Linked DNA regions of Mus musculus: all the other regions are reported to be linked to region 6. Evidence: microRNA targets listed by miRTarBase, many of them from high-throughput screens and not tested one by one. Region 6 holds a microRNA gene; each other region holds the end of a gene's coding sequence.

What was found. The annotated mature microRNA mmu-miR-10a-5p reads UACCCUGUAGAUCCGAAUUUGUG and lies in region 6 at 2,918-2,940, opposite strand. An mRNA with a match to its seed (bases 2 to 7 or 8) in the 3' UTR can be bound and repressed. Matches are read on the target gene's strand: a 7mer-m8 pairs with bases 2 to 8, a 7mer-A1 pairs with bases 2 to 7 and ends in A, and an 8mer does both.
Region 1: miRTarBase lists Marchf2 as a target of mmu-miR-10a-5p. The part of its 3' UTR that is shown has no 7-base or 8-base seed match.
Region 2: the mRNA of Ooep is a reported target of mmu-miR-10a-5p. Seed matches in the 3' UTR shown: 7mer-m8 at 3,453-3,459.
Region 3: miRTarBase lists Cercam as a target of mmu-miR-10a-5p. Seed matches in the 3' UTR shown: 7mer-m8 at 3,288-3,294.
Region 4: the mRNA of Man2a2 is a reported target of mmu-miR-10a-5p. Seed matches in the 3' UTR shown: 7mer-m8 at 387-393 and 7mer-m8 at 2,301-2,307.
Region 5: the mRNA of Med18 is a reported target of mmu-miR-10a-5p. Seed matches in the 3' UTR shown: 7mer-m8 at 3,623-3,629 and 7mer-m8 at 3,274-3,280.
Region 7: the mRNA of Nip7 is a reported target of mmu-miR-10a-5p. Seed matches in the 3' UTR shown: 7mer-m8 at 475-481, 7mer-m8 at 2,111-2,117 and 7mer-m8 at 2,267-2,273.

Annotation. Positions count from the first base shown.
Region 1 is chr17:33,688,262-33,692,337 of GRCm38, forward strand. It overlaps Marchf2 (membrane associated ring-CH-type finger 2), which reads right to left. Exons shown (of 5, transcript NM_001252480.1): 5 at 3,244-3,892. The coding sequence ends at 3,734. Among named protein-coding and RNA genes, the nearest start is that of Hnrnpm, 4.8 kb to the left of the region's middle.
Region 2 is chr9:78,373,782-78,377,781 of GRCm38, forward strand. It overlaps Ooep (oocyte expressed protein), which reads right to left. Exons shown (of 3, transcript NM_026480.3): 3 at 3,122-3,910. The coding sequence ends at 3,774. Among named protein-coding and RNA genes, the nearest start is that of Ooep, 2.8 kb to the right of the region's middle. RefSeq lists cis regulatory regions at 1-2,698, 1-2,698 and an enhancer at 265-1,629.
Region 3 is chr2:29,881,630-29,885,705 of GRCm38, reverse strand. Cercam (cerebral endothelial cell adhesion molecule) reads right to left here. Exons shown (of 12, transcript NM_207298.2): 12 at 2,866-4,010. The coding sequence ends at 3,758. Among named protein-coding and RNA genes, the nearest start is that of Odf2, 6.3 kb to the left of the region's middle.
Region 4 is chr7:80,347,985-80,352,060 of GRCm38, reverse strand. Man2a2 (mannosidase 2, alpha 2) reads left to right here. Exons shown (of 24, transcript NM_172903.4): 24 at 210-2,964. The coding sequence ends at 362. Among named protein-coding and RNA genes, the nearest start is that of Hddc3, 6.9 kb to the right of the region's middle.
Region 5 is chr4:132,455,761-132,459,836 of GRCm38, forward strand. Med18 (mediator complex subunit 18) reads right to left here. Exons shown (of 3, transcript NM_026039.3): 3 at 2,969-4,076. The coding sequence ends at 3,800. Among named protein-coding and RNA genes, the nearest start is that of Med18, 6.1 kb to the right of the region's middle.
Region 6 is chr11:96,316,050-96,320,125 of GRCm38, reverse strand. It overlaps Mir10a (microRNA 10a), which reads right to left and starts at 2,961; the gene lies at 2,852-2,961. It overlaps Hoxb4 (homeobox B4), which reads right to left and starts at 1,859. Exons shown (of 2, transcript NM_010459.7): 1 at 903-1,859; 2 at 1-96. The coding sequence starts at 1,356. It also overlaps a transcript of Hoxb3 not described here.
Region 7 is chr8:107,058,153-107,062,228 of GRCm38, forward strand. Nip7 (NIP7, nucleolar pre-rRNA processing protein) reads left to right here. Exons shown (of 5, transcript NM_025391.2): 4 at 1-35; 5 at 225-2,779. The coding sequence ends at 344. Tmed6 (transmembrane p24 trafficking protein 6) reads right to left here. Exons shown (of 4, transcript NM_025458.2): 4 at 3,332-3,672. The coding sequence ends at 3,442. Among named protein-coding and RNA genes, the nearest start is that of Nip7, 3.3 kb to the left of the region's middle.

The DNA.
Region 1 (4,076 bases), not on the chromosome of region 6:
TGGATGGTGTTCTTATAAGAGTTGCCTTGCCGGGCAGTGGTTGCACATGCCCTTAATCCCAGCACTTGGGAGGCAGAGGCAGGCGGATTTCTGAGTTCAAGGCCAGCATGGTCTACAGAGTGAGTTCCAGGACAGCCAAAGCTATACAGAAAAACCCTGCCTTGAAAAACAAACAAATAAAAAAAAAAAAGAGTTGCCTTGGTCATAGTATCTGTTCACAGCAGTAAAATCCTAAGATTGTACAATTGAGTTACATACATGGCCCTGGTATACTGTCAAGTTTTTATTATTATTATTATTATTATTATTATTATTATTATTATTATTAATTTGCTTTTTGTTTGTTTTATTGTTGTTACCATTGTCGTCACTGTTGTTTAAGATAAAATATTTAAGCTGTTCTGGAATTCCCTATATAGACCAGGCTAGCCTTGAACTCAAAGAGCTCCTACTGCCTCTGCCTCTTGGCTGGGACTAAAGGTATATGCCACCACACATGGCTTATTTTACCTTGAGACATGATCTCATTATGAAGCCATGGGAAGTCTGGAATTTGCTATGTATTTCAGGCTGCCCTCGAACTCACAAAGATCTGCCTGCCTACCTCTAAATCTGTGTGCTGGATTAAAGATATGCACCACCACAAAAGGCCCTTTGTGATTTATTTTATGTGTACAGGTGTTTTGCCTACCTGTGTGTCTTGGTACCATGTGTATCCTTGGTATCAGTTGGATCCCCTGATACTAGAGATACAGATGGTTGTGAGCCATTACATGGATCCTGAGAATCAAACCCAGGTCCTCTTCAATAAAAGAGCAGTCCAGTGCTCTTAACCACTGAGCCATTTCTTCAGCACACACACCCACCCCCAACTTGGTTTACTCTTAAAGTCATTTGTTGCTGAGTATATCACTCCATGGTAGATCATTTACCTAGACTATGTGAAGCTCAAATTCAATCCCCAGTAGCATTTAAAAATATATATGTATATATAAATAACATATATATATTATATACATAGGGAGAGAGACAGAGAGAGAGACAGAGAGAATATATGTATTGCCAGGCATGGTGATGCATACCTTTAGTAATTACAGCACTCAGAAGACAGAAGCAAGAGGATCTCTTTGAATTCTAGCCTGCCAGAGCTACTCAGAGACTGTGTGTGTGTTTCTGTGTATGTGTGCACTAAAATTATATTAAAAACTTAATTTATTTAATGATCCTGGGAATCTAACCCAGAACTTTGTCTTTGTTATTCAAATATTCAATCACTGAACTATATCACCAGCTAAAATAACTTTTTTGTTTGTTTGTTTTGGTTTTTGGTGGTTTTTTTTTTTTTTTTTTTTTTTTGGTTTTTTTTCGAGACAGGGTTTCTCTGTATAGCCCTGGCTGTCCTGAAACTTACTTTGTAGACCAGGCCGGCCTTGAACTCAGAAATCTGCCTGCCTCTGCCTCCCGAGTGCTGGGATTAAAGGCGTGCGCCACCATACCCAGCTTAATATAACTTTTAAAAAATCATTTATTGTAGCCAGAGAGATGATTCAGTGGTTAAAAGCACTTGCTGTTCTTCTAGAAGACAGAGGTTTTGTTTCTAGCAGCCACATGTCAACTAACAACCATCTCTAACTCCATCTAGTTCCAAGGAATCTCTTGGCCTCTTCTGGCTTCCTTGAGCACTGCATACACATGGAACACTCACTTATATGCAGGGAAAACAAAACACTTTTACACAAGAATAAAATCTTTACAAAATATTTTTAAAAGATCATTCACCATAAATCCTGCCCAGGCCAGTGGCGGGGGTGGGGGGTGGGTTGTCAATGGATGAGAGCACTTGTGCAAACCTGATAGCCTGAGTGTGATCCCTGGAGCCCACATGAAGGTAGGAGAGACTCTGCTCTACTAGTAAGGTTTCTTCTGACCTCTTCCAGCAAAATAACAATAATAATAATAATAATAGTTATTATTATTATTATACATTTTAACATGATAATAAAAAATAAGCTAACCTCATTTCTTGTTCTTTTATTTTTTTCCCTCATATATGTGCAAGTGCATGCCTGTTCAAACCTGTGCATGTGCATGCAGAGGCCAGAGGCTAATGTTGGTGTCTTCACTCATCTTCTCCCCCTTATACATTAAGGCAAGGTGTCTCAACTGTACTTAGAGCTTTGCCCATATGGTTAGTTTAGCTAGCCAGCTTGCTACTAGGATTTCCTAGAGGACAGAAACACACACACTACTGATCTATATAGGTTATAGAGATGGGAAATTTTCATGTTTGTGTAGCAAGCCCTCTAACTACTGAGTTGTCTCCCAAGGTCCTGAATCCTAGTCTTTATTTAAAAAAAAAAATACAAAAACAACAACTCTGACTTTATTTTTTCTTTAGGCTTCCATGCTGGTTAGATTTAACTGTCAACTTGACAGAATCTAGAGTCCCCTGTGAGATGAACCTCTCGGGGGATGACTATGGGGATCATCTTGATTGTACTGATTGATATAGAAATACCCAACTTAATTATGCCTTGATTTCCCTACCATGAGGGGCTGTACCTGTAGCTGTGAGCTAAAACTAAGTGCTTTCTCCCTTACATTACTTTTTTAAATTAGATATTTGCTTTATTTACATTTCAAATGTTATTCCCTTTCCTAGTTTCCTCTCCAAAAATCCCCTATCCCCTTCCCGCCTACCCCTGCTCCCCAACCCACCCACTCCTGCTTCCTGGTCTTGGCATTCCCCTATACCGGGGCATAGAACCTTCACATGACCAAGGGCCTCTCCTCCCATTGATGACCCACTAGGCCATCCTCTGCTACATATGCAGCTGGAGCCATGAGTCCCACCACGTGTTTTCTTTGAGTGGTGGTTTAGTCCCAGGGCTAAGTTACTTTTTTTAAAAAAAAACTGTATTTTATGTGTATGAGTATCTTGCCTGCACTTATGTATTGCACCATATGTGAGCAGCGTCTATGGGAGCCTAAAGAGGCACTGGATCCCCTGAAGCTGGAGTTGGAGACCGTTACAAGCTGTGAAGAGCACTAGGAATTAAACCCCAGTCCTTTTCTCGAGTAGCCAGTGCTCTTCACCCCTGAGCCATCTCTGTCCCTCCACTTCAGGTCCTTTATCATAGCAATAAGAGAAGAGAAGAAAAGAAGCTTCATACAGTCCCCACAGAACAAGCCAAGCATTTTAGACTTTGTGCCCCCACAGAATCACTCGCTTGGAACAGCTTAGAAACATAACTGATGCGTCCATATTAGCCAGCAAGGGCTCCTTTTATTCATTCAGGGGTGGGTTTTTGAAATGCAGTGCAACTTTATAAGATTATAAGTCAAGAGTGCCAGTAAAGCAAGCCAGCTAGGTGCAGAGTAACGCAAGAAGCTTGCTGGAACCTTCTAGTCCAACGGGCGCCCTTGACACCAGCGCTAAAGCTGCTGTGCAAAAGGTGTCAAACAGATCTCAAAATGAGACAGAGGTGCCTACTCCATCCAAAGCTCAAATCTGTCCATCTGTGCTTGTCATATACAACAATGTGCAAAACAAAACCCTTGAAAATATGTTCACACGGGATCACAGAGCAGGCTCTGCTGGCTGTGGCTACGGGCCTGAGAAGCATCATAGCTGTGCATGAAAAGTCAGGCAGCCTCCATCTTTCCAAATGCCAGCTGCATTGCCATCTGACTCTGGTCTGTCTACTACCTCTGAGCCCTGCCAGCCAGGCCTTCACACAGGGGTCTCCTCTGCCACCTTTTTTAAGAGTCCAGTAGCCAGCAAGGAGTGATGTGGATCCTCGGAGCCATCTGCTTCCCGAATCTTCAGGCGGACTTTCTGATTTGTCTTCCTCCATTCCGAGTACAGCTGGCAATGGTATCGGAAAGAGACCTGCGGGGGCAGTCCTGCAGTGGGTGGGGAGGTAGAGACAGGCCTCCACCCTGGGGAGGAAAGGGAGCCCTGGCATTTGTCATGGGCCAAACCTAGAAGCAGTGCCACCTCTGGGCATTTCCTGAATACTATGCATACACTCACCCATTCGGTCCTCTGAGGATACTCTGATACGCTCCGAGTC
Region 2 (4,000 bases), not on the chromosome of region 6:
TAGAACCCAGGGCACCTGGCTTGTGGGTGGAGCAGCTACTGTTGCTCCCTGGAAAACTTTTCCAAGCTGTGGCTATTCTAGTCAGGTACCTTGAGTTGTATCAGGTTCAAAACCTGGTTGCAACCAGCATAGTGGCTGAGACACAACTGGATTTAAAAGTTTTGCAGCTCTATAAGTTACATGAAAAATGTAGCAGTAGAAAAGTGTGTGTACATGTGTGTAGTTGTTCAGTTTGGCAAGTCCATTTTAGCATATGTGATGGCCCATGTCTCTCTCTCGGCTCTTCGCATCTTCAAACGGATGCTATTGTCTTACTAGTTCCTCCACTACAGGTTATTTTGGTCAAATAAAATCTTTACACATGCTCAGAAACAAAAAGAGGGTCTGGTAAGATGGCTCAGCAGCTGAAGAGCTTGCCAGCCAAGCACGAAGACCTGTATCCGAGCCCATAGAGAGGAAGGAAACGGCTCCAGGGTTGTCTTCAGTCATCCCCATGGGTGCCATGAGATGCGCTGAGCCCTTGCCCCCGCCGCGCCCCCACCCCCTTACAGCAGTTGTAAGACAAAGTGCAGGCACAGCTAGGCCTGCATCATGGAGTTGTTGCTTCTGTTCTATTACCTCCCTCTCGTTGCTGAGCCAACTGCTTAGGTCCCAAGCACTCAGATTAGGTGCTTGGCATAATGCTAATGCATAATTTACATTGGCCCTTAAGTGAGAAGAAAAGAATGTCAGAGCACTCTGCCTGTTTTCAATATCCGCAGGGCAGAACAGGAATGGTGGGCCACACTCCTCATCCCAGAACTGGGGAGGTAGAGGTCCGAGGAGCTGGAATTTAAGGTCATTCTTTGCCATTTATCAAGTTGCAGGCAGAGTACATTTCAATCTCCTAGCCTCCTCCCCGCACCTGGGAGGGAGAGGCTAATCAAAGGAGGTGGGGGTGGGGGCAGCCAGTAGGCATAGAACTTGCTACAAAAACAGAACTGGGTTTATTTTTCCAGCGTTTGATTAAAAAGCCAGGCACCCAGGCCACACCTGTATGTAACCCTAGTGCTGAGAAAGCAGAGAATAGAGGCGTCTTGGTGCTTACCAGCTGGACTAATTAGCCTAATAGGTGAGGTCTAGGTTCAGCAAAAGACCCCGACTCAAAAAACTACAATGGAGCATGGTGTGGTGGCCCCTCCTTTACTCTCAGGATTAGGAGACAGAGGCAGGAAGATCTCAAAGCTTGAGGCCAGCCTGGTTTACAGAGCAAGTTCCCAACATCCAAGGCCACTCCCTAAGGAGTGAGACCCATACCTTTAATTCCAACACTCCAGGAGGCAGGGGCAGGTGAGTTCCCTGGCCACACAGATTTAAAGATAGGATTCCAGGACAATCAAGGCTACACAAAGAAAGCTATTCTTGAAAACCACAAACAGACAAAAACATAAAAGTACAGAGATTGAAGCAGACATCAGTTAACCTCTGGACTCTCCTTGCAAGTCTGTGTGTGTGTGTGTGTGTGTGTGTGTGTGTGTGTGTGTGTGTATGGGTGCACATGCACAGAATATTGGCAAATGGATAAGAGAATCCAGCACAGATCTGTTAAATGTGTTAACTTCTTTGGGCTATCGCAACAAAATAACCCAGACAGTTTAAACAACAGAAATGAGTCCCTGTAATTAGAGTTAGAAGTCCAAAATGGAATTGTCACTGCTTTAGTGTCTGGGTCTACTCTGGTCATCACATGATCTTCCCCAGGTTCACACCTTTGTTTACATTTTCTTTAGGAGTGCATGTTCACAGGTATAGTGATGAAATGACTTAATTTTATATTCATTGCATCCCTTTTTCCTCTGAGACTTGTGCTTGTATCTGCTGAGCCACCACTCTAGCCCCTTTTGAAAGGCTCTGGGGCTGGAGAGATGGCTCAGAGGTTAAGAGCTGAGGTCACGAGTTCAATTCCCAGCAACCACAGAGTGGTTCACAACCATCTGTTAATGGGATCTGATGCCCTCCCTCGTCTGGGGTCTCTGAAGAGAGCGACAAAAACCAAAAACAGCCTTTGTCAGAGAGAGGGGGGGGGAGGAAGGAAAAAAAGAGGCCGGTTCTATCTGTGAAGTGGAATCATGGCCTGGTGATTAAGAGCATCGGGTTGCTCTTCCAAGGACCCAAGTTTGATTCCCAACACCCACATGGAAGCTAACAATAGTTGCGGAGGGATCTGATGCTCTCTTCTGGCCTCTGCAGGCACCAGACACACACGTGGTGCACATACAGACATACAGATAGATACAGGCAAAACCACCCTTACACATAAATAAAAACAGCAAAGCTTTATCTGAAAATATGCTACTCATAGCCTGTGGTCCTGAGTTTGGGGGCTCAAGTATAGGCTAATAAATACAAATTCTGGTAGAAACATAGAATTTTGTCCAGAAGTTACTAAAAAGTTTTAAGTTTTATGCATGAACCTATTCATAAATCTGCTAATGATGATCAATCTGCTTAAACGGTATTGACTTTTTTTAAATCAAGTTCACACCAGAAAAAAAAAAGTATGACAAATTTCTGTGAGAAAACCGGAGTTCCTGGGGTGGGGCCCAGGTAACAGGAAGCATAGTAACAGCTTAGCAACCTTGAGCAGAAATGATTGCCCCAAAGTCATGTTTCAGCATCCTGAGCATGTTAGAGCTGCAAATTAATGTATCCTCTCACGGGGAATCACTGGAGAAGGGGCCCAGGACATTGTTTTGAGGCCCTTCCAAAGTGAATTCTCCTGTCCAACCCCATTCCTGGTACAAGGATTCTCCAGAATTCTGGCTGGCCTTAAATTCAAGAGATCCACCTGCCTCTGCCTCAGGTGCTGGGATCAAAGGCATTGCACCACCACTGCCCAGCTCCCAAGTGAATTCTTGCACACTATAAATCAATGGTTCCCAATCTTTCTAATGCTTAGGCCCTTTAATACATTTCGCGTTGTGTTGATTTCCAATCGTACATTTCTTTGCTACTTCATAACTCGACCACTCTTCTGAATTGTAATGTAAATATCTGATATACAGGATTATATTCTGATCCCAGGTTGAGACTACTGCCTTAACTGGAGTAGGTTAAAAAGTACAAAAGGGTAGCCAGAAATGGTGGAGCACACCTTTATCACAGAACTTGGGAGGCAGAAGCAGGTAGATCGGAGTTCAAGGCCAGCCTGGTCTAAATAGGAGACTCCAGGACGGTCGGGGCGACATAGATATTCTGTCTCAATAAGGAAGGACAAAGGGATCAAGAGCTGACATTTTAATGATGCCCTTTTCCCAAACTACTGGGTAACTTAAAATAATTTGCTTGGGCCAGGCATGGTGGTGCATGTCTTTAATCCCAGCACTCGGGAGGCAGAGGCAGGCGGATTTCTGAGTTCGAGGCCAGTCTGGTCTACAAAGTGAGTTCACGGGCAGCCAGGGCTGCACAGAGAAACCCTGTCTCGAAAAAACAAAACAAAACAAACAAAAAAAAAAAACTTGCTTGACACAGGAGTTAGGGCCCACTTTTAAGTCAACTGTGCCATTCTTGAGGGCCAGACTGAAGTGTTGTTAGAAACCGTAGGAATACAACCTACATACTCCCCGAACCATCAACTGAATACTCAAGTGTTTATAAATTTTACTGTATGTGATCAAACCAACAGCATACCAAAAAAAATTTTTTATATTGGAATAGTTCTACAAATTGCTATTTGCAAAGAAAAATAAACAGGAGGTGCTCGTGAAGGCGGGTAAGAAAATACGTGTAGTGATTTAAGACTCCATCTGTGTTTCTCTTCCCTCCAGCGGAAGCGGAAAGCCAGCCAGTTTTAGCCCTTTCTTACTTAACTTGCTTAGGATTGAGGAGGCACGAATTTTCAAGAACTCTTCAACTTCTTTCACCTTCACAGCTGGAAAAGGATCAACACCAACAGTCAGGCGGGAGGGGCGCAGAGTTTTAAAGAGAAGGGCTTCTGGACCTGGAATCTGGGAAGACTGGT
Region 3 (4,076 bases), not on the chromosome of region 6:
GATAAAAAAAAAGAAGGAAGAAGAAAGGAGGGGGAGGAGAGGAAGAAAAAAGAAAAGACTAAAATAAAACTCATGGTCAAGAGTCCACAGAAAAATGATCCATCAGACTGGATGAGGTAGTTAGTTTCCTTCTCTGTGAATTTCAAGGAGTCTTTGTGGACTCCAGTCGTAGCCCCAACCACACAACTCTGGCCTGAGGGAAGTCTTATTCCCCTTGGCTAAGGCTTCTCCATTTACCCAAGGGCCTGATTAGGTTGTTTCCAGGAACACCTGCTTCAGGGCCCTGCTGCAGCTGCCACAGCCTAGGGAGAGACGATCAGTGCTACAGAGTGGAACTGGCTCTTTCTTCCTGGTACCTTTGTGTCTTCTTGGAGGGGCCAGGAGGGAAAATTCTCCCAGGCCCTCAAGGTTTGCCCTTCTCGGATCCTCTGAGCTGTCCCTCACTGCTTATGAACCTTGAATAGATGCTATGCTTAGTGACTGTACTGTAGCCAGAGTGTGATCATGAGCTAACAGCATCAGCAGAGTTTGGAGACTTATTAAAAACACAAATCATCTGGTAGTGGTGGCACACACCTTTGATCCCAGCACTCGGGAGGAAGAGGCAGGTGGATCTATGAGTTCAAGGCCAGCCTCACAGAGTGAGTTCTGTACCTGTGGTTACACAGAGAAATCCTGTCTTGAAAAACAAAATAAAACAAAAAGTAAAACATAAATTCTCAGGTCTGGATATGTGAACTAGGCTGGCCTCAAACTTGCAATTCTATCGTCTCTGCTGCCCAGGACATAACCACATCTGACTTCTTACTTGTTTATAAGGTTTATTGTGTTTTATTATTTTTTTAAAGATTTCTGTCTGTGTGTGTGTGTGTGTGTGTGTGTATACTTGGGCGTGCATGTGTGCACACACACACACACACATGCACACACATATTAGTGCAGGTACAAGGTCAGAGGAAGAAGTTGGATCCCCTGGATCTGGAGTTAAAGATAAGTGTGAGCCATCGTGTGGGTGCTGGGAATTGAACCCAGGTCCTCTAGAGGAGCAGACAGTGCTCTTAGCTGCTGAGGCATCTCTCCAGCCCCCACCATCAGGCTCTCATTGTTTTGTGGTATCTGTTGTCCTTAGTACTGGTAATGGGAGACACCTTGTGTGTGCTGGACAGGGGTTCCAGGTCCACCTGACAGCCCATTTTCATCAGTTTCGTTTACTGCTGAATCCTTAGAACCCACCCCCACCCCTGCTCAGTCCCCGAGAGGCTAATCAAATTTTACAGGATGAATGAAAATGTTACCTGCTCTAGATTACAGACATCCAGAGAGGAAGATTTTCACCCTCAGAAGAACAAAACATCACAGCCTCACCTCTGGCCCAGAGTCCTCAGAGCTATGGCAGGTCCTGAACCTCTCTCTCCTGGGCTGCAGTGCACTGGCAGCGCAACCTCAGGAGGTACTATGCGGACTCTGCCAGGTCTGGGTGCTCGCTAACGTAACTCATGTTCAAGGGCTGCTGTGGAATGGAAGACAGGTAGGAAATGAGCTCCTCTAAGGGAGATAACCTGTTTGCACTAGCAGGTGCTAAGTCAGCCCCAACCAAGACAGGGAATCCCTTCCCCTCACTCTTCCAGCCATCTAAGTGCTGCTAGGCCCAGAACCTGGTCCTCTGTGACTAGTGGAGAGAAGTCCCCCTTTCCCACACAGAAGGGCAAAAGCATGTGGAGTAGCCTCTAACATCTCTGCCACCTCAGATGGAGTGGCCACAGCATCCAGATTGTAGAGTGGACGCTTCTAGTTTCTTTGTGAAGTTAGTAGTTATGTCATATGTTTTGCTGGGCCGCACAGGTGAAAGGGTGTTTTGCTGGAGCAGACACACGAAAGGACTCTTGATGAAGAACCATAAATATCCACCCCACAGACAATGGGAGGGGGAGCAGTGGTTCGGTTTGCTCACCTCACTATTCTTCACTTAACGACATGCACGTATTGGTTCGACTTACATAGCTTGTTGAGCTCAACCTCTGGTAATGCTGCCATTGTGAGAAGCTCGCCCAAGAACTGCATGAGGTTCCTGCAGCTGCTTGCCACTTCTGCAGTCTCCCTCCCTTGGGGCCCACTGTCAAGCCTGGTGGTTTCTGTAGGATTGAACTACAACTGCTGGTTCGTGCCTGGTGTCTGCCTGCTGAAAAGGCTGGACTGTAGCTGCTGGTTCGTGCCTGCCTAGAGGACTGGTCTGCAGCTGCTGAGTCGCATTTGGAGTTTGCTACGGGACTGAACTGCACCCAAAGATCAAGCTCACCCTCAAAGGACTGGTAAACAGGTCTGCTTCCTCCATATCCTAATGACTTTTCTCTTCCACTGCCTCTGCTGGGTGGTGGGCTAAAGGAGAGGTTGGACCCTTATTAAAAGCAGGTTGCAAAAAAATGTATGCCTACAGGATTGAGTTTAAATTTCCCATACTCTCTTCTCCACTGTGGGTCCAGAAGTCACAAAGAGCACCCTGACCCACCAGGTTAATGCTCTGTCACTTGGTGACTTCTGCTGGTGCTTATTCTTTAGGGTCAGAGCAGAACCCTGGCTCTCCAGAGGCAGAACTTGGCTTCTTACAGAACTAGGATTGCAGACACAGCAGAAATGCAAAGGGCAGGAGTGTAAGTGTGACCCCAGGCTGGATGGAGATGAGCACAGAACAGAGGCGCTCATTCTTCTCAGGAGCTATACCTTCCATCCATCCAAAGGAACATGGCTGTCCATCCAGGAAGCAACTGCCTGATAGCCTGACCCCTCCTCTTCTGCCCTCCCTCCCTCCCTAGCTCAGAGGGTGTCCTGCCCTGGCCTGGAGAGACACAAAGAGGCTCAGCTGTTAAGTGAAGTATAAAATGCTAATGCAAGTGGCTTTTATTGAAGGCCTACTGCGTGTTGAGCACCAGGTATGCCTCCCATCTTCTTGCACTTTCCACCAACCAGGAAAGAGGGTGCTAATGGGCCCCAGATGTGAGGCAGGGAGGGAATCACCAAGGCGGAGGTAGATGGAGGCAAAGTAGTTGGGTCCTCAGAGGGCAGGACTCTGGGCTCCAGCCAGCTTGAAACCCCAAAGGCTGAGGCCTCCCTGTCCCTGAGCCCACTGGCTCTAAATTTGCAAGCAGAGTCAAGAGTCTTGGGGTAGCCAGGCAGTGGTGGTGCACGCCTTTAATCCCAGCACTTGGGAGGCAGAGGCAGGCGGATTTCTGAGTTCAAGTCCAGCCTGGTGTACAAAGTGAGTTCCAGGACAGCCAGGGCTACACAGAAAAACCCTGTCACAAAAAAAAAAAAAAAAAAAAAGTCTTGGGGGTCTTAGTGTCTTCACTCTGAGACCTTCAGGAGTGGACTCTGTCTCTGAGTGCTTCTCCTCCCTTGGAATGAGTCCAGAGGACAGAAAACTAGCTGAGCCCAAAATAACAGTCAGATTTCTGCTGGCTGTCACCTCTTCCTCTCCCCTCTCATCGCTCATTTGGATTCCCACTTGGACCTCATGGGCTAGCGGTCAAGGGGGCAAGAGAAAGAAAAGGAAAATCAGATGTAGAGATGTCAACAGCTATGGAGAGAGACAGACAGGTAGAGAGGCAGATACAGAGACAAGACAGAGACAAAGCTAGAGAAATCAGAGAGAAGTAGACAAGAGGTGGGTTGGGGATGGGAGAGAAGCAGGAGGAGGGAGGAGGAGAGAGCTGAGAAGGGAAGCCCGGGCCGTGGACTGGTCCTCTTCTAGGTCCAGCTTCACCTACAGTTCATCCCTGTGGTGAGGATGGAGGCTGTGTCCACTGCTGCCAGTCAGGTGCAGGTGGGGGCCACGAAGGGCCTTTTGAGAGCCAGTCTGGCTAATGAGGCGACCACTGTCATCGTCCCAGGGGGAGGATGTCTCTGTGTCACTGAGCCACTCGGCGTCTCCCGAATAGTGGGTGGGGGAGGCAAGCAGAGGCCTAGCTGAGAAGGCTTGGAGGTCCCGAGGCCAGAAGTATGCTTTGTACTGGTCACTGTGAAGTGAGAGAAGAACTCTTAAGTGGACTCCAACCCAGAGCTGGGGCCTTGACTGTCTGCAG
Region 4 (4,076 bases), not on the chromosome of region 6:
GCCAGCCTGGTCTACAAAGTGAGTTCCAGGACAGCCAGGGCTATACAGAGAAACCCTGTCTCAAAAAAAAAAAAAAAAAAAAAAAAAAAAAGAAAAAGAAAAGAAAAGAAAAAAAAAGGAAAAAACCCAAAAGGGCAGCACTCCGTGTAAGGAAGAACTTACCCACTGTTAGCAGCGCCCGGCTCACCCTGCCCCCTTTCTCTTCACAGCTAGCCCTGGGGAGCCTCTTCCATGGCCTGGATGTGACCTTCCTGCAGCCAACCTCCTTGACTTTGCTATACCCTCTGGCCTCACCTTCCAACAGCACTGACATCTCTCTGGAGCCCATGGAGATCAGCACCTTCCGCCTGCGCTTGGGCTAGGCCAGGGCTTCTTGTGGCCTGAAGACAGGGTTCATCCACAGAGACTGCCTCCTAACACCAAGACTAAGCTGGACAAGCCACACCAAGTCTCCCCTCCGCTCTGCCTCAGAAGTGACAGACTGTGCTGTGCCCTTCCGTTGTCTATTGCTGCTCCTGCGTTTGGAACAGTCCTTACATCAGCAGGCGGCGGGGGCAGAGAGACAGGGGAGAGGAGGCCCTTGCCCTAGGCTGTGAGTAGGTACCCAGCTGGGCACAACTCAGGCTTCATCCTTTTCCCAAAATGGGATGTAGGAAGAGTGGGGACAAGCAGAAGAGGTCAGGGAGGCTGGGGGACAACCTCACGCTAGGAGACTGCAGGTATGAGCTTGCTCTGCGGGGTCATATGGACCCCACAGTGCTGGTATGAGGGTACAGGAGCAGGGTGATTCTGGGAGGAGAGGGGTAGGCGCCCATTATTAGTGGAGTAAAGGCGTGGAAGGAGTCCCTGGTTCTCCTAAGAGCCTAAAGGCTTTGCTGCTTTCTGCTCTGGCTCTGTTCTGAGTGCCACTGGGCCTGCTCTGAGTGCCACTGGGCCTGCATGCCCTGGCTAGGGGCTGCTGGGTGCAGGAAGGGCTTGCTTCAGACTCCAGGCCAGAGGCCACGGAACACTTCAGGCACTAGCACTAGTTCTCAGCTGATCATTTGGTGTTGATCTGTGACAGGGGTAGGGAGTGTCTCCCCCTGATCTGCTTTCTTATCTCACACACCAGGCTCCCCACGAGTTCCCATTGTGGGGATCCTGGCAGGATTCCTTTCTCTAAAATGGAAACAGAGTTTCCAAGAGGGCTGTGCTTGGGTGTCTTGGGAAGGCATCCTGTGCTGGGGCCCCTGGTGGGCTGAGGAGGTTCACTCGTATCCCACCTGCAGAAGTATTACCTGCCCGCTGTGTGGACGAGGAAGGCAGAGACAAAATTAGGAGGTCATGTGCTTGGATGAACCTTCGTTTTTGCTTCAATCAATAGAGAATCTGTCTATAAATGATAAGAGTTGGTAAAAGCAAAGTTCCATCCTTACGAAAACTTAGTAAGCCAAGACTAGAAAGAAGCCCGTAATCTGGATAAAGATCTCGTCACCAGTAAGCGAAGGCGCCCAAAGCATCGGACAGAGCAGGCTCTGATCCCCTCAGTCAGAAACTGCCCGGCGGCACAGTGTGTTGGTGTCACTAACCCACACTTCAGATGGAAACAAGAATTACAATTGCCACTGTTTTAAAACCATAAGCTACCTAAGAAACCTGTGTGTCAACTAGCAAGGCATTCTGTGAGTTGCCCTGTAACGACTGGTTCTCCCCAAATCAACCCATAAACATCAGTGTAATTCCCACGAGGTTGGACACTTTCTGGAACTCTTCAGGTCCTGGCATTCATCTGGAAGGTGACAGGCTGAGGATGTGAAGTAGTTCTGAATGGCCGAGGTGATGAACGGCTGCTGACACTAAGGCGGGCAACAGGCAGTAGCTGTCTTAACAGAGTTCTCAAACGACTTGGACTCTTCTGCCAGCGTGAATTCAGCTGCCATGATAGGTCAGGTCAGACAGACCTAGGCACGTAGAAATTCAGTATATGATTTCAGGTGCAGGGGAGGGGAGGTGGATATTTTCATAGTGCTTTGAGACAGCTACCTACCTATGAGACTTCTGTTTCAAAAACAAAACAAAACAACCTAGGGCTAGAGGGAAAAAAGCAAAAGCAAACAACAAAATTGTTATTATTATTATTATTATTAATTATTATTTTAGTCTCACTATGTACCTCTGGCTGTGCTGGAACTCATTATGTAAACCAAGCTGGCCTGGAAATCACAGAGATTCCCCACCTGCCTCTGCCTCCTGAGTTCTGGGACTAAAGGCATGCGCCATCATCACACCTGGGAGGAAAAAAATTTTTTTGTTTTTTTGAGACAGGGTTTCTCTGTGTAGCTCTGGCTGTCCTGGAACTCACTCTGTAGACCAGGCTGGCCTTGAACTCAGAAATCCACCTGCCTCTGCCTTCCTAGTGCTGGGATTAAAGGCGTGCACCACCACTGCCCAGCAGAAAAAAATATTTTTATACCTGATTTAGGAAACCCTTTTCTAGACATAACATGAAACCTAATATATAATGGGGGAACATTAAAAAATAGGTTTTGACACACACACACACACACACACACACACACACACACACACACACACACACACACACACAAAGCTTGAAAGCATGCTATAGGAAACAGGTTAAATCAATACAGCTGTGTGGGTGGAAACGAGTCTGCAGTGAGTTCTGTCACTGCTGGAGAAAAGTGTGTTTTGACTTCTCAGAGAACGTCACTAGGGTCTGTCCAGCAGCACCCAAAGACTCAGTAGTGACAAGGCTGAGTTCTTGCAGGGTCTCCATGGTTTATGTTGCCAGGCTCAGGCCACACGGCTTCCTATTCATGTCTTGGTGACAGGAATGAGATGAAGAGTGGGGAGCGCTTAGCACAGAGCAGGGGTTGCGCCTACAGCAAGACTTATTTGCTACCATATGGTTTGTAATCAAATGATAGGGAACTGTGCAGAATAAAGAATATTCTTTGGAGGTCAGAGATGTGCAGTGAAGTTACTTGTCTGACAGGACAAATTTTAATCACAAACACACACTTGGGAGTGTCTTGCAATGTATCCCTGACTAACCCAGACTTGCCATAGAGAGCCAGGCTGGCCTTAAACTTGTAATCTTCCTGCCTCTGCTGCCCACAGGCTAGGCTCACAGGCATGCACACCATGCCCTCCCTGCTGCTGTTTACATACATAAATAGTACTTAGAGCAGTGTCCTTTCAAAAGTTCGTCAGCAGAGTTGCCTCTGGAAAGATAGGCAGGCCTGTTTCTTCAGTCTGGGTGCTAAGGTGATGTGTGGCAGAGGGCCACATGTAACTGGATCAAGGAAAAAAGCCAACTCTTGGTAAAGCCTCTGAACTAATCCTTGGGAGAATAAGGGCCAAAGCCAAAGCATTTCCTTCTCCCCTCCCCTCCCCTCCCCTCCCTTTCCCCCAGGCAGGTAGCACAAGCTAGCCTCCAATTTTTACTGCATTTCCTGCCTTAGCCCCTCAAGTGCTGGGATTACAAGTGCATGCCTCCGTGCCTGGCTCATACGGTTCTTGGTAATGGCACAGTGAGTGCGTACTGTTTTAAGGTAAGCAGCAGCTGTTGTCCACAGAGCTCAGGGATGGATGCCTCCCCAGTAAGGCTAACAGTCTACAGTGGAACCAAGATACAACAAAACAACCTCATTCACCAGAAAGAGAAGGACTCCCTCACTGAGACGCATCCAGTTCCATAAGGAGGAGAGGATTGAGTGGCCAGCTGGAGGCACAGAGAGAAAGGCGGGCAAATGTGAGGAACTTCACCATCTTGCAGGGCGTCAGGCCCAGACAGGGTCCGGATCTACCTTCCCCAGGGCATGAAGAGGAGTAGGAATTCCTGGGCAGACAGCATTTCTAACCCGAGCTGGAAGAGTTTAGCTTGCTGTCATGGTGGTTAGGGAGCCAGACACTTCCAGTCCAGCTACTCTGGAGACAGGGGAGGAGTCTGTTGAGCCCAGGAGTTTAGAGCCAGCTCAAGCAACACTGAGACTCCATCTCAAACAAGCAAAAAGCCACTAGCTGTCACAAACACAAAGAGGAAAACATAAACTATGTAGTGGAGGGGTGAGGCT
Region 5 (4,076 bases), not on the chromosome of region 6:
TTGTAACTGCATTTTTGTACACTGATTTTCACATGCGCGCTTGCGCAAGCGCACACACACACATACACACAATGTACTTTAAGAAGATGAGGCTGGGCATGGTGGTGCATGCCTTTAATCTCAGCTCTCCAGAGGTGGAGAGCAAGTGGATTTCTTTGAGTTCAAGGTCAGCCTCACTAACTCAAAAGGATGAAGCTAGGCTGCGTTTCATGAGACGATGCCTCAGAATAAAAACAGAAACAAACGAAAATAAATTTAATTTTTGTGGTTACATGTGATAGAGAATAAAAGTATAATTTAGGACTGGGTATAGTAGTTCATGCCTGTAATCCCAGCCCTCTGGAGGTCAAGGCAGAAGGACTGCCTCAAGTTCAAGGCTGGCCTGGGCTGGAAAGGAAGACTTTGTCTAGTACAGAATAAACACAGAGATTAGAAACAGAGGGAGGCTACACACTAAGGAGCAGTGTCTGAGTGATTGTACTAACACACAGTGGCAGCCTGTCCTAGTTTGCTTTGTTGCTGTGGTAAATACCATGGTCCAAAACAACCTGGGGAATAAAGAAAGGGCTTGTTTCATCTCACAACCCCCCAGGTTACAGCCCCTCAGTGTAGGAACTTGGAGGGATAAATGCAAGCAAAGACTGTGAAGGAATACTTTTTCTCCTCCTCCTTCCTCTTTCTCTCCCCTCCTCTTCCTCCTGTTCCTCCCTTTCTCTTCCTCCTCTCCTCCTTCCTCTTTCTCCTCTTCTTCCTTTCTCTTCCCACCCGCTCCTTTCTCTTTCTCCTCCTCCTCCTTCTTGTTATTGTTTCTCAAGACAGGGTTTCTCTGTGTAGCCCTGGCTGTCCTGGAACTCACTCTGTAAACCAGGTTGGCCTCGAACTCAGAAATCTGCCTGCCTCTGCCTCCCAAGTGCTGGGATTAAAGGCGTGCGCCACCATGCCCAGCTCATTTTGGGGTTCTTTAAAAAACTTTTTTAGACAGTTTCTCACCTGGAACTCTGTAGAGAAGGCTGGCCTCGAACGCACAGAAATCTGTCTGCTTGTCTCTTGATGCAAAACCCCACTCCCACCTGGGTCTTGCTATATTGTCCAAACTGGATCTTAAGTTTCTGGACACAAGTGTTCCTCAGACTTCAGCTTCTCTGGTTGTTGGGACAAATGAGGACAAACTATGCCTTGCTTGATAGTCTGTGTGTTTGTGTTTGAGTGGGATTAGTCAGGGAACTTGTACATGAGTGGTATTAGTTATAGATCTTGTGCATGCTAGCCAAACAGTCTATACTGGACTACAATCCATTCCTCTGAATGACAAACTAAGATCCAAAGTGAGTTATGGCCAGGCTTGTTGGGCACAGGCATTTAACCCCAGCACTCAGGAGGCAAGAGGCAGGCTGGAGCTATGTGAATTCAAGGCCAGCCTGGTATACAAAAAGTTCTGGAACTTACTCTGTAGACCAGGCTGGCCCCAAACTTAGTGATCTGTATTTCTCTGCCTCCTGAGTGCTGGGCCACCATGCCTGGCTGAGAAAAAAATAAATTTTTTTAAGTTCCAAAACCTAGCAACCACAGTGTACAGGCAGTGGTTTGTAGACCTCCACAGCTACACATGCAGGTGTAGCAAAAATAGAACCATCTCTGGTATTTTATTGGTTTTAAAATGTTCCATCAACAAAAATGTCCTTTTCCTCTGTGTGTGTTTGAGTGTGCCTGTGGTTTGAGACAGGATCTTGCTGTCGCTCACGCTGACCTGGATTTTGTGATCCTCCTGTCTCAGCCTCCCCATGCCCTGATAACAGGATGGCTCAAATATACTACTTTCATGAAAGATTAAAACATCTCTACAAAGAATAACTGCAAGGGACCGGGGCTGTAGTTCAGGGGATAAAACATTGCTAAGCAAACACACAAACCTGAGTTCAGGTCCCGGGCAGCAGCTGGAGGCAGTGACTGGCTTTTGCTAACCCTGCTGCTGCAGGGAGGGTGGAAAGAAGAAAGCTAAGGGGCCCCTGGCTGGTGTCTAGATGAAACTGAGCTGCAGGCTGTGAGAGATCTCATCTGGAAAGGAAAGGTGGATAAAGGAGCTTGCTGCCAGGCCGGACAACCTGAGTTCCACACTCAGGCCCCGGATGGTGAAAATACAGAACTGCTGGAAGCTGGCCTCTGATCCCATGTGCACAGAAGCACATGCACACGTGAGACCTAAAGAAATAACTGTAATCTAAAACAGAAGGTAGATGAGCCAACAGTAAATTTCACTAAGGCTGTTGGTAGGATCCTGGGTAAGACTCCTATAAAAAAGAAAGTGGACTGAAAGTTTTCCTGGCAGAAAAAGAAAAAAAAAGAAAAAGAAAAAGAGAAGGAGAAGGAGAAAAAGTATCTGACTTTTCAAATCTAAGACTATGAGCCTTTTGTCTTTCTTCTCTGTGTAGCCTTGGCTGTCTTGGAACTTGCACTGTAGACCACAGGTCTGCCTGCCTCTGCCTCCTGAGTGCCAGGACTAATGTTAATGGCATGCACCACCAGCACATGGCCCTTTTCTTGCCTGAACATGTCTGTGTACTGAGTGTGTGCCTGGTGCCTGTGTACTTCAAAAGAGAGCATCCAATCACCTAGAACTGGACTCCTACGGAAGGTTGTCAGCACTCAAGGATGTGTTGGAATTAAGCCTGGTCCTCTCTGCAGGAGCAGCCAGTGCTCTTTAGCAGCTAAGCCACCTCTCCATCACCAGCTACTTGAATGTTTTTGATTACATTTGTGTGTGGGTGTGCACACATGTGGGTGCAGGACTCAACCAATCCTGTGGAGAAACAGGACGGCAACAGGCAGGAGTCGGTTCTTTCTTTCTCCCATGTGGGTCCTGGAGAGGCCCCCACAGCATACACAATAACAACAATAGTAAGACAGAACTATAGCAATATAGAAGTAGACTAGGAAGGAGTTAAGACGAGTAAGAATCAGAATCACAACTGAGTCTTTTCAGTCTTTATTACCACACAATGCTGGCTCACACCACCATTGTAAACCTTGTATATCAATGGCAAAACAACACAATTTAAAACATATGAAGAAAACAACAAATAAATAAAGGAATAAAAAATGTTTCTCTAAAAAAAACAAAAAAAAAACAAAAAAAAAAAAACAAACAGCCGGGCTTGCGTGTTATCGCACGCCTTTAATTCCAGTACTCGGGAGGCAGAGGCAGGTGGATTTCTGAGTTTGAGGCCAGCCTGGTCTACAAAGTGAGTTCCAGGGCAGCCAAAGCAACACAGAGAAACCCTGTCTTGTATTGAAAAACAAAACAAACAAACAAACAAACAAACAAACAAAAAACAAAAAAAAAAAACAAAAAAGAAAAGAAAAGAAGAGAAAAAAGAAAAAAAAAGCAAAATATTATGAGTTGTTTTTTGACCTTTCCTCTGAAAAGCTAATTTATTCCAGTTCCCTCTTTTTGAGTGGAGGGAGGACTTGAACAAATCTCCATATTATCCTGGGTCTTTCATTGGAAAAGCCTATCAAGAAGATGAACAGTCAGGTTTAATAAGGACCTTGCAGGCACTTAGGCGGGAAGTACAGGGTCCTGAGTTCCAGGGTAGCTAGTTTATGTAGTGAATTCCATGGTAAAACCCTGTTGCAAGAAAAAAGAGACATTACCAAGTGAAGGAAACAGTTGAAAGGAACCAGGTCTCGCCATCATCTTCTGGAAGGAAGTGGGCCCGGCTGGCAGCAGTACCTGGGCTACTTTCGAAGTCTCTCACCTCCCAGGTGGGGACAGGCCTAAAAGGCCGACAAACTTTCTTCATCACATCAGCCTTTTGGGGTCTATTTTTTCCAGGTGAACCAGAGGTTTGAGCTGCTCTGCAAAGTTCCTCATGTCATCAGAGACCATGTCCTGCCCAGCCGGGGCGACAACACTTAATTCCACAAGATAGGAGAGGGACAGGGCCTCGGTGCTGTCCGTGTTCCCTGGGACCAGGATTCGGAAAATCTTGTACACCACAACCTTCATGATGCCCTTCCGAAACAGGTGTCCTTTGGCGACAAACTCATGGTCCATGCGGAAGCCCATCTCCATCAGG
Region 6 (4,076 bases):
GATTGTAGTGAAACTCCTTCTCCAACTCCAGGACCTGCTGGCGAGTGTAGGCGGTCCGAGAGCGCTTGGGCTCCCCGCCGGCGTAATTGGGGTTTACTGGACACACACAGAGAGAGAGGGAGAAAGAGAAAGTTTTATTGCCCCCGAAAGGGAGGAGGGAAACCCTTTCTTCCTTCCAGCTAACACCGAGCCTCCTGCTCCCACTACCTCATCTTGGAGGGAGGGGGTCGAAAAAGGAAGACCCGTGAAAGAAAAAAAAAAAAAAAACTCAAACTTTTGGAGGGCTGTACTGTTGTCCTTGTTGCCTGGGGGAGGGGCACTGTGAGGAATCTTGGAAAGATTTTCATCTCACTCTTTGGCTTGAGGACCCCAATGGCGTGGGGTAGTGGGAGGGGGTGTTGCCCTAGACCTTTCCCCGGCTTAGTTCCCACCCTCACTGCTCAGATTCCAAGCAGCGCCTTCCCCTTAGTAAAAACTTTTGCCTACTTCTCCAGCCAAGGTACCAGATTGGAAGAAAGGGGAAAAAAAAAAAAAAAAGAAATCCAGGAAGTTGATTCAACTCTGTGCTTAAATAGGGATTACCTCCTCCTCTTCCTTCTCCTCCCCTCCTCCCACACCCCTCCCCAACTTCCAACTTTACTGGGACTGCGAATCCCTGGCGAAAAAGTCGCTGGGAGAATGAAGAAGAGGATGACTTCAAAGGCGCAGGGCCCACTAGGCCATAAAAATTTATGGGCGATGTAATTATGTGGCTCTGAAAACAGGAGACCGTAAATCTCTGGCAATGGCGAGTTTATAGCGGGGACAATTGGCTTCCCCTCGCTCCCTCCCCCACATGCCTCGGAGGTCCCTTCACTGTAAAGCGCCGGGGGTGGGAGGGGAAGGGGTGCCCACGCACTCACCCGTGCTCACGTGAACTTTGCGCATCCAGGGGTAGACGACGGGCTCTTTGCACGCGGAGTGGGACGGGCTGGGATGCAGGGGGTTCTGGGCGCAGGGAGGCGGCGGGGGGCTGCTGCTGACCGCCTCGCTGCGCTGCCCGGGCTCCGGGAGGAGGGCCCCGGCTGTTGGCTGCACTGGAGCCCGAGGGGACAGCCCGGGCGGTGGCGGGGGCGGCGGGGGCGGCGGAGGTGGCGGGGGCCCGGGGTCTCGGCAGGCCGCGTAGCGCTGCACAGTGCACGGCGCCCGGCGCCCAAAGGCCGCCTCCGGCTGGAAGCCGCTCTCTCGCCTCTGGCCGCCGGCGTAGTACCCGGGCGAGTGGTCGCTGGGTAGGTAATCGCTCTGTGAATACTCCTCGCACGGAGGGAACTTGGGGTCGACATAGTTTGAGTTGATCAAAAAGGAACTCATAGCCATTAATTTCTGGGAATTGCCCACAAAATATACTAAAATTTATTCCGACCCCTGACTCGTTTTCCTGTTTCCGAAAGCCCTCCTACTTACTGTCAAGTGAACAAAGTTAGAGGCCCACGTGATCCTCCGAGCCAATGGCCACCCGGCCTGCGATTCCCGGATAAGGAAATCTGCTCACCCGGACCCTACTCCAGCCAAAGAGGTTTATTTCCCCTTCTCTACCCCTCCCCACCCACCCAACACCAGGATTTACATAGGGCTCCCGCGGGGAGACCCCCTCCTCGCCTGGCTTTCTCCACAACAGAGAGGGGTGATGAACTAAGAAAGAGTGAGCAGGTTAATTGGAGGGCCTGTTTGGGGGTGAGGGGGCTGGGCAGAGCACAAACCCTGCATCCCTCAGAAGTTGGGGCTGCGGGTGTAGCCCCCACCCCTGCCCTACCTAATCTCCACCAACCTTTCTCTGACTCCCATAGGGCCCCATCTCCTCCCCAGGATAAGAGGGAGCTCACGCACTAGGTGTCTGTGTGGGGTTTTAAGTGGTTGGCCGACCAGGGAGCGCCTTCTTGAAATGGGTACCCACTAGGTCATAGGGGCGCTGAGCTTGGGGCTTCTCAGTGCAGCCAGATGGGGAGGGGTAGGAGGTGAGTGAGGAGGCGTCGGGAGCTAGAAGGCGGGTGCGCAGAGGGACTTGTCAGAGATGAATGGAACCGCGAGCAGATCGATAGGAAATTCACGCACTAATTCGGGGAGACTTCGCCTTCCAAATCGCATTTAGCTGCACTATGAGCATCGGCTGTGTCCGTCAGTCTGTCCTCCTCAACACTCCCTCCCTTTAACCCACAAGGCCCAAGGTCAGAGGAACGGCTGGACTCCCTCCACTAAAGACAGAAGATACAATGAAACCAAACCAAACCCGCAAGTTCCTAAAACCAATTGAATAGTAATTTGCTAATTCCAGATTCGTCGAAGCAATGCTAACCAAGAGTTCTAATTGCCGCTAAAGCCGCCGCCTCTGTCAGTGTGGCAGAAAGAAATTTCACAACCTTGAATACTAAGTAAAGGAGCCCTAGCTGTGACGCCCCCACCAACATCACACGCACAAGAACACCCATGGCAACCTTATGTTTTCAGGGCATCTTGTCTTGAATTCAACGAAACAGCAATCTTCGCATCCTTTTAAAAAGCAAATTTCCTTTGCCTTTGCACACTGCAGCCTTCAGCAATCTTTTTTTCCTCCTCATGATTTCCAATAAAGCCCCCTGGACCCAGAATAAGAATAGGTAGGTTGGGGCTTAAAGATAAATTTTAAAACACCAGTAACATTAATCTCTTGAGTGAACAAGGACCCAAGCTTCCAGGGGTGTGCATGGGGACACCTCAGGTAGATGAGATTTCTCCCTCATTGGTTGAGGGAGGAAAAGAAAAGGAGTCTTCTTGAAGGCAGTCACTGGATTGTCCTCATTTAGAAAATAATCTATTTTTCTTCTGGGAAAGAATATGAGCGGAGTGTTTATGTCAACTACATATTCCCCTAGATACGAATTTGTGACCACAAAATTCCTTACACAAATTCGGATCTACAGGGTATATACAGAAGACAGACAGGTCTTCTTGGCCCAGGAAATTTCCAGTTCTCTTACTTTCCGTGCGTTCTTCTTTTGGGTGTGATCTGAATGTTTTCATTTTTATTTCGTTTTGTTTTAATTTTGAGATCTGGGAGCAGAAAAGTCACTGTGGGTCCGTTCTTGGGATTACAAGGGGTTTCAACTTTCTATTCAAAAAATAAAATAAGATTTTTTAAAAAGGCAGCTGTTGTGCAAAGGGACTCGAACCTCGTGGCTGCCGCGCGACTTTCGGTGGCGCATGAATTATTAGATGTAAACATTAGCTAAGCACAAAAGAAGGAAGGGTCATCCCGAGGCTGCCTCGAAGTCAGAATCAGGCCTTTCTGGGTGCCCTCGGCCCCTCCCCTCCCCCCATGACTTTTTTTTTTTTAAGAAAAAATACAAAACCCCAAATAGGTTCCTCCCTTGCCCCCACAGCCTTTAGTTTGTGATCAAACACATATATAGATATTTTCCAAAGCAAAGGGAGGAGGGAGAGGTGTCTGGGTGTGAAGGGGGTGTAATAAAAGTCCTTTTGGAAAAAGTGAATGCTAAAAAGAGAGAGAAAAACAGCTGTGAGGAAAAATGCTGGGAGACCAAACAGATGGCCCCCCCCCCCATATTTAATGACGGGCAATTCCGTTTACAACCTGAGAAGAAGATCAAAGGCAGTTCATTTCCGAATGAAGGGCAATGAGGAACCATAAAAGTTGCAGCCAGATGATGTGCAGGCCCCTCCCAACCTCACATATCCCCCCCATACCTCCTGGAGGCTGGAATAAGGGGACACCCCCCTAGAGGTGTGAGGAGGACCCCCCCTACCCACACCTTATCCCCAGGCAAGGATCCTCTGTCTAGAGGCTCACTAACTGGGCCCATCCACCTGCTTGGGTTGCTGGCTGTGTGGCCAAAATGGGATTCTGGAGTTTTTGGGTGAACTTCCTGAAGCTCCCACTAACATTTGACTTTTCTAAACTGAAAAAATGAGAAATTGAGGATCTGGAGTTTAAACTGGGAGAGCTGTGACCAGGTGAGGGCAAGTGTGTCCAGCAGAGTCTTTCTCACTATCACCACCGCTATAACACCCTAGGCTTGGGGGATACTTCTGCCCTTACTGAG
Region 7 (4,076 bases), not on the chromosome of region 6:
GAGTGGTTGTCTATTCCATGGCGGACATTCCTCTGGTGAGTAGCCACGGTAGCCATCCATCACGGCAAATGCCAGGTACCCACTGGAAAGGATGAAGTTTCAGTCAGCAGCTCGGAGACTGACTTCTTGGCTCCTTTCACAGTTCTCAAAGATACAGCTGTTTCAATATAGTTTTTGTTTTGTTTTGTTTCCTTATAAATGAATGTCTGTTCTTTCAATTCCAGGGTTTTGGGGTGGCAGCAAAGTCTACCCAAGACTGCCGAAAAGTGGACCCCATGGCAATTGTGGTGTTCCACCAAGCAGACATTGGGGAGTACGTACGCCATGAAGAGACACTGACTTAGGACGGTCATTCCAAGAACATTTTGCTGTGTGAGAGGACTTAGCTTTGTTTCCTGTGTGCGGCCATCAGATTAAATCTGGACAACACTGAGATACGCAACTTGGGTTCTTATCAACAGAAATGGCGTGAAAACAGGGTCTCTGGCCCTCTAGAGTCAAAAGCAGGTGGATCACAAGTATAAGGCCAGCTCAGGCTACTTGGAGAGTTCAAGGCTAGCCTGGGCTACATAGTGAGCCTTGTCTCAAAAATCTAAAACAGACAAACCAGAACCTGAGAGTGTTTTGTGTGAGTAAATAGAGTGTTTCTGTTTTGTGTCTGCGTCGTCTTTGTTTGGATCAGAAGACTTGCTCTGAGTGATGGTTTCTAAGTTACTTCACTGAGGACAGGAGCCATCTTACTGTTATCTGTGATAACACTGTTTTCCAGGCTCATGATAGCACAGTGGACTTTCTATTGTGTGTTAATGTTAAAGGTAGAAACGGCCATATGAGCCTCTGGTTTTACATATGGAATTTAATAAATTTTAATGGTTTTATATTTGTTATTTCATATGTGTGAGTGTTTTGTTGGCATGTACGTATGTGCACTGCTTATGTGCCTGGTGCCTAAGGAAGTCAAGGTGATTTCAGACCTGGAACTAGAGTTACTGGTTGTGAGCCACCGTATAGGTGCCAGAAATTAAACTCAGGTCCTCTGCAGGGACAGCAGTGGTCTTAACCACTAAGCTATCCTAATAAATTTAATAGGTGCATTTTGGCTATTTTTCTTGGTGTTAAGTGGGGTATAGCGTGGAAGCGTCTGTATTCAAGCCTCAGTTCTGCCCCTTGCCAGCTGTGGTGGTGGACAAGTTCTCTGCTTAGAGAGGCTTCATTTTCTTCCTTTGTTAAAAGAAAAAACCCATGACCCTGCCGTATGGTGGTGCATATCTTTAGTTACAGCACGGGGGCTTGAGGGTGAGGCAAAGGCAGATGGAGCTCTATAGGTTCAAGGCCAGCCTGGTCTACATAAGGAGATCCTGGCCAGTCTTAAACCCAAAACCCACAAAACTGAAAAAACACCTCCAGTCATCAGTGTAACAGTGATATTCAGAATTAAAAATAGCAGTTGTAGGGGCTGGTGAGATGGCTCAGTGGGTAAGAGCACCCGACTGCTCTTCCAAAGGTCCGGAGTTCAAACCCCAGCAACCACATGGTGGCTCACAACCATCCGTAACAAGATCTGACTCCCTCTTCTGGAGTGTCTGAAGACAGCTACAGTGTACTTACTTACATATAATAAATAAATAAAAAATAGCAGTTGTAAAGCATCCTGCATGGGATAGAGTTATCCTGTCTCAAAACAGGAAATTGTTCGTGCGTGTCTGTGTGAGTATATCCTGCTTGGGTAGCGGTATCCTCAGAGGGCAGAAAACACTTGGGATTCCTTGGAGCCTGAGGTAAGGACAGTTGTGAGCTGGCCATTGTTGGTGTTGGGAACCAAACTTCAGTCCTCTAAAAGAGAATGTTCTTTCTGAACTGCTGAGCCATCTTCCCTGTCTGTGTTAAAATGATTTTGTTACTTTTTTTTTTTTTTAATTGAAACAAGTTCTGACTATGTATCTCTGCTTAGAATGTACCCAGGCTGGCCTCAAACTCAAGGATCCATTGATTCTGAAGTGCTGAGATTAAATGGGTATACTACCATACCAGGCTCAATTCCCCCACCTCCCTTTTTTTTTTGTTTTTGTTTGTTTTTTTTGTTTGTTTTGTTTTTGTTTGTTCTTTTGAGACAGGGTTTCTCTGTAGCCCTGACTGTCCTGGAACTCATTCTGTAGACCAGGCTGGCCTCAAACTCAGAGATCTGTTTGCCTCCAAAATACTGGCCTTAAAAAATGTGCCCCACCATGCCTAACTTCAGAACAATTTCTTTTTCTTTTTTTTTGAGACAGGGTTTCTCTGTATAGCCCTGGCAGTCCTGGAACTCACTTTGTAGACCAGGCTGGCCTCGAACTCAGAAATCCACCTGCCTCTGCCTCCCGAGTGCTGGGATTAAAGGCATGCACCACCACACCCGGCAGAACAGTTTCTTAAGATATGATCAGGTTATGTCAGTTTTAGGGGGCATTTTTATTTTTTGAGACATTTGTCACATTATATCTAAGTTGGTCTGAAATGCTATGGGACCCAGGCTGTCTTAGCCTCTCAGGTAATGGTATTATAGGTCTGTCGCCACACCAGTTTCCAATGGTAACATCTTTTAAATAAAGTAAAATATTTCCAACCGTTGAAGGGCACTACAGGCCAAGAAGATAGCTCAGTGGACAGCCTGGTAGGGTGGATCAGCCATGTGCCACCAAGCCTGATGCTGTGTTCAATCCCTGGGACAAGGTTGAAGGTGGGGACATTGCTGACCTTTGTAGTCCTCTACAATGGATTAAAATTTTTTAAACTCCAAAAAGTTGTCTCCGTATCAACTCTTTCAGAGCTTTTAACGTACTTTGAGATATGGTCTTGAACTGCCTAAGGCTGATCTTAGTGCTTCCTCTGCAGTGCTAGAGTTCAGATTTGAGAGCCACCACCCTGATTTCTGTGGTGCCAGGGATCGAGGCCCAAACTGCATACAAAGCAGGTGCTCTTACTGAAGGGAGCTTCATCCTTGAACCCACTTCCAGGGTTTCTCTGTGTAGCCCTGGCTGTCCTGGAACTCACTCTGTAGACCAGGCTGGCCTCGAACTCAGAAATCCGCCTGCCTCTGCTGGGATTAAAGGCGTGCGTCAGTGAAGGCTGAGGGACAGCTGGATAAAGATGTTTCTAGGCTGCGGATGGGGTTACACACCTTGCCAGCAGTGGGGATGCAGAATCTCTTTAGTTTGGGGTGAGTTGGGTCTACCCGGCAAGTTCTAGTAGCCAAGGCTACATATTGAAACCCTGCCTCAGATAAACAGTACTTTTAGCTTTTAGCACTTAATTCGTATTTTAGAATGATCAGCAGCAGAACTCACTTTTTGTTAAACATTTGCCTTTATTGGTGGACACAAGAGAAAGGGGACATAAGTTGACCCCCCCCCCAATAACTTTCCAAAGCCCATTTGATCAAAGCTTTGACAAATAGGCTATATGTTAGCATCTTGGCTTCTTTGTGTCAGTAGTTGAAGCAGTAAAAAGTCTTTTCAAGAAATAGAGCTGGAGGGCCCCGGAAAGAACAATAGCAAGGCTCTGAGCTGTGGACCACCAGTTCACATAGGTGTAGTTAGACTGCAGGAGGAAGAAGTCAGCCACTTTTCTCATCCTGGCATAGTTGTAGAAGCGCCACATGTGGAAAACTTGGTTCTCCACCCTTTGTGTGCTGTCCTGTGGGAAGAAGGAAAGCCACTCTGGCTGCTGTTGGGTCTTACCTGCCCTGATCTAAGTGACCTGTGACTCAGGAGTCTGAGAAACAGTGCTACAGCAGTTGGTAATACATGGTACTTTGACTTTGTTTGAGAAAAATTGGTGGAGTAGTTTTAAAGTTAGGAGGCATAGTTAGGGCTTGGGATGTACCCAGTGGTAAGGAGGATTGCCTAGTACCCACAAAACTCCCCACATCCTAAACTCAGCAGCCTTGAACATTCAAGGTAAGCACTTGGGCTACTTCTCACATAGCCCAAGCTGGCCTCAAACTCAGTGTGTAGCTAAGGGTGACTTTGAATCCTGATCTACTCTGTTGAGGTTACTTGTATAAGCCACTATCAATTGAGATGCGTGTTCCACATGCC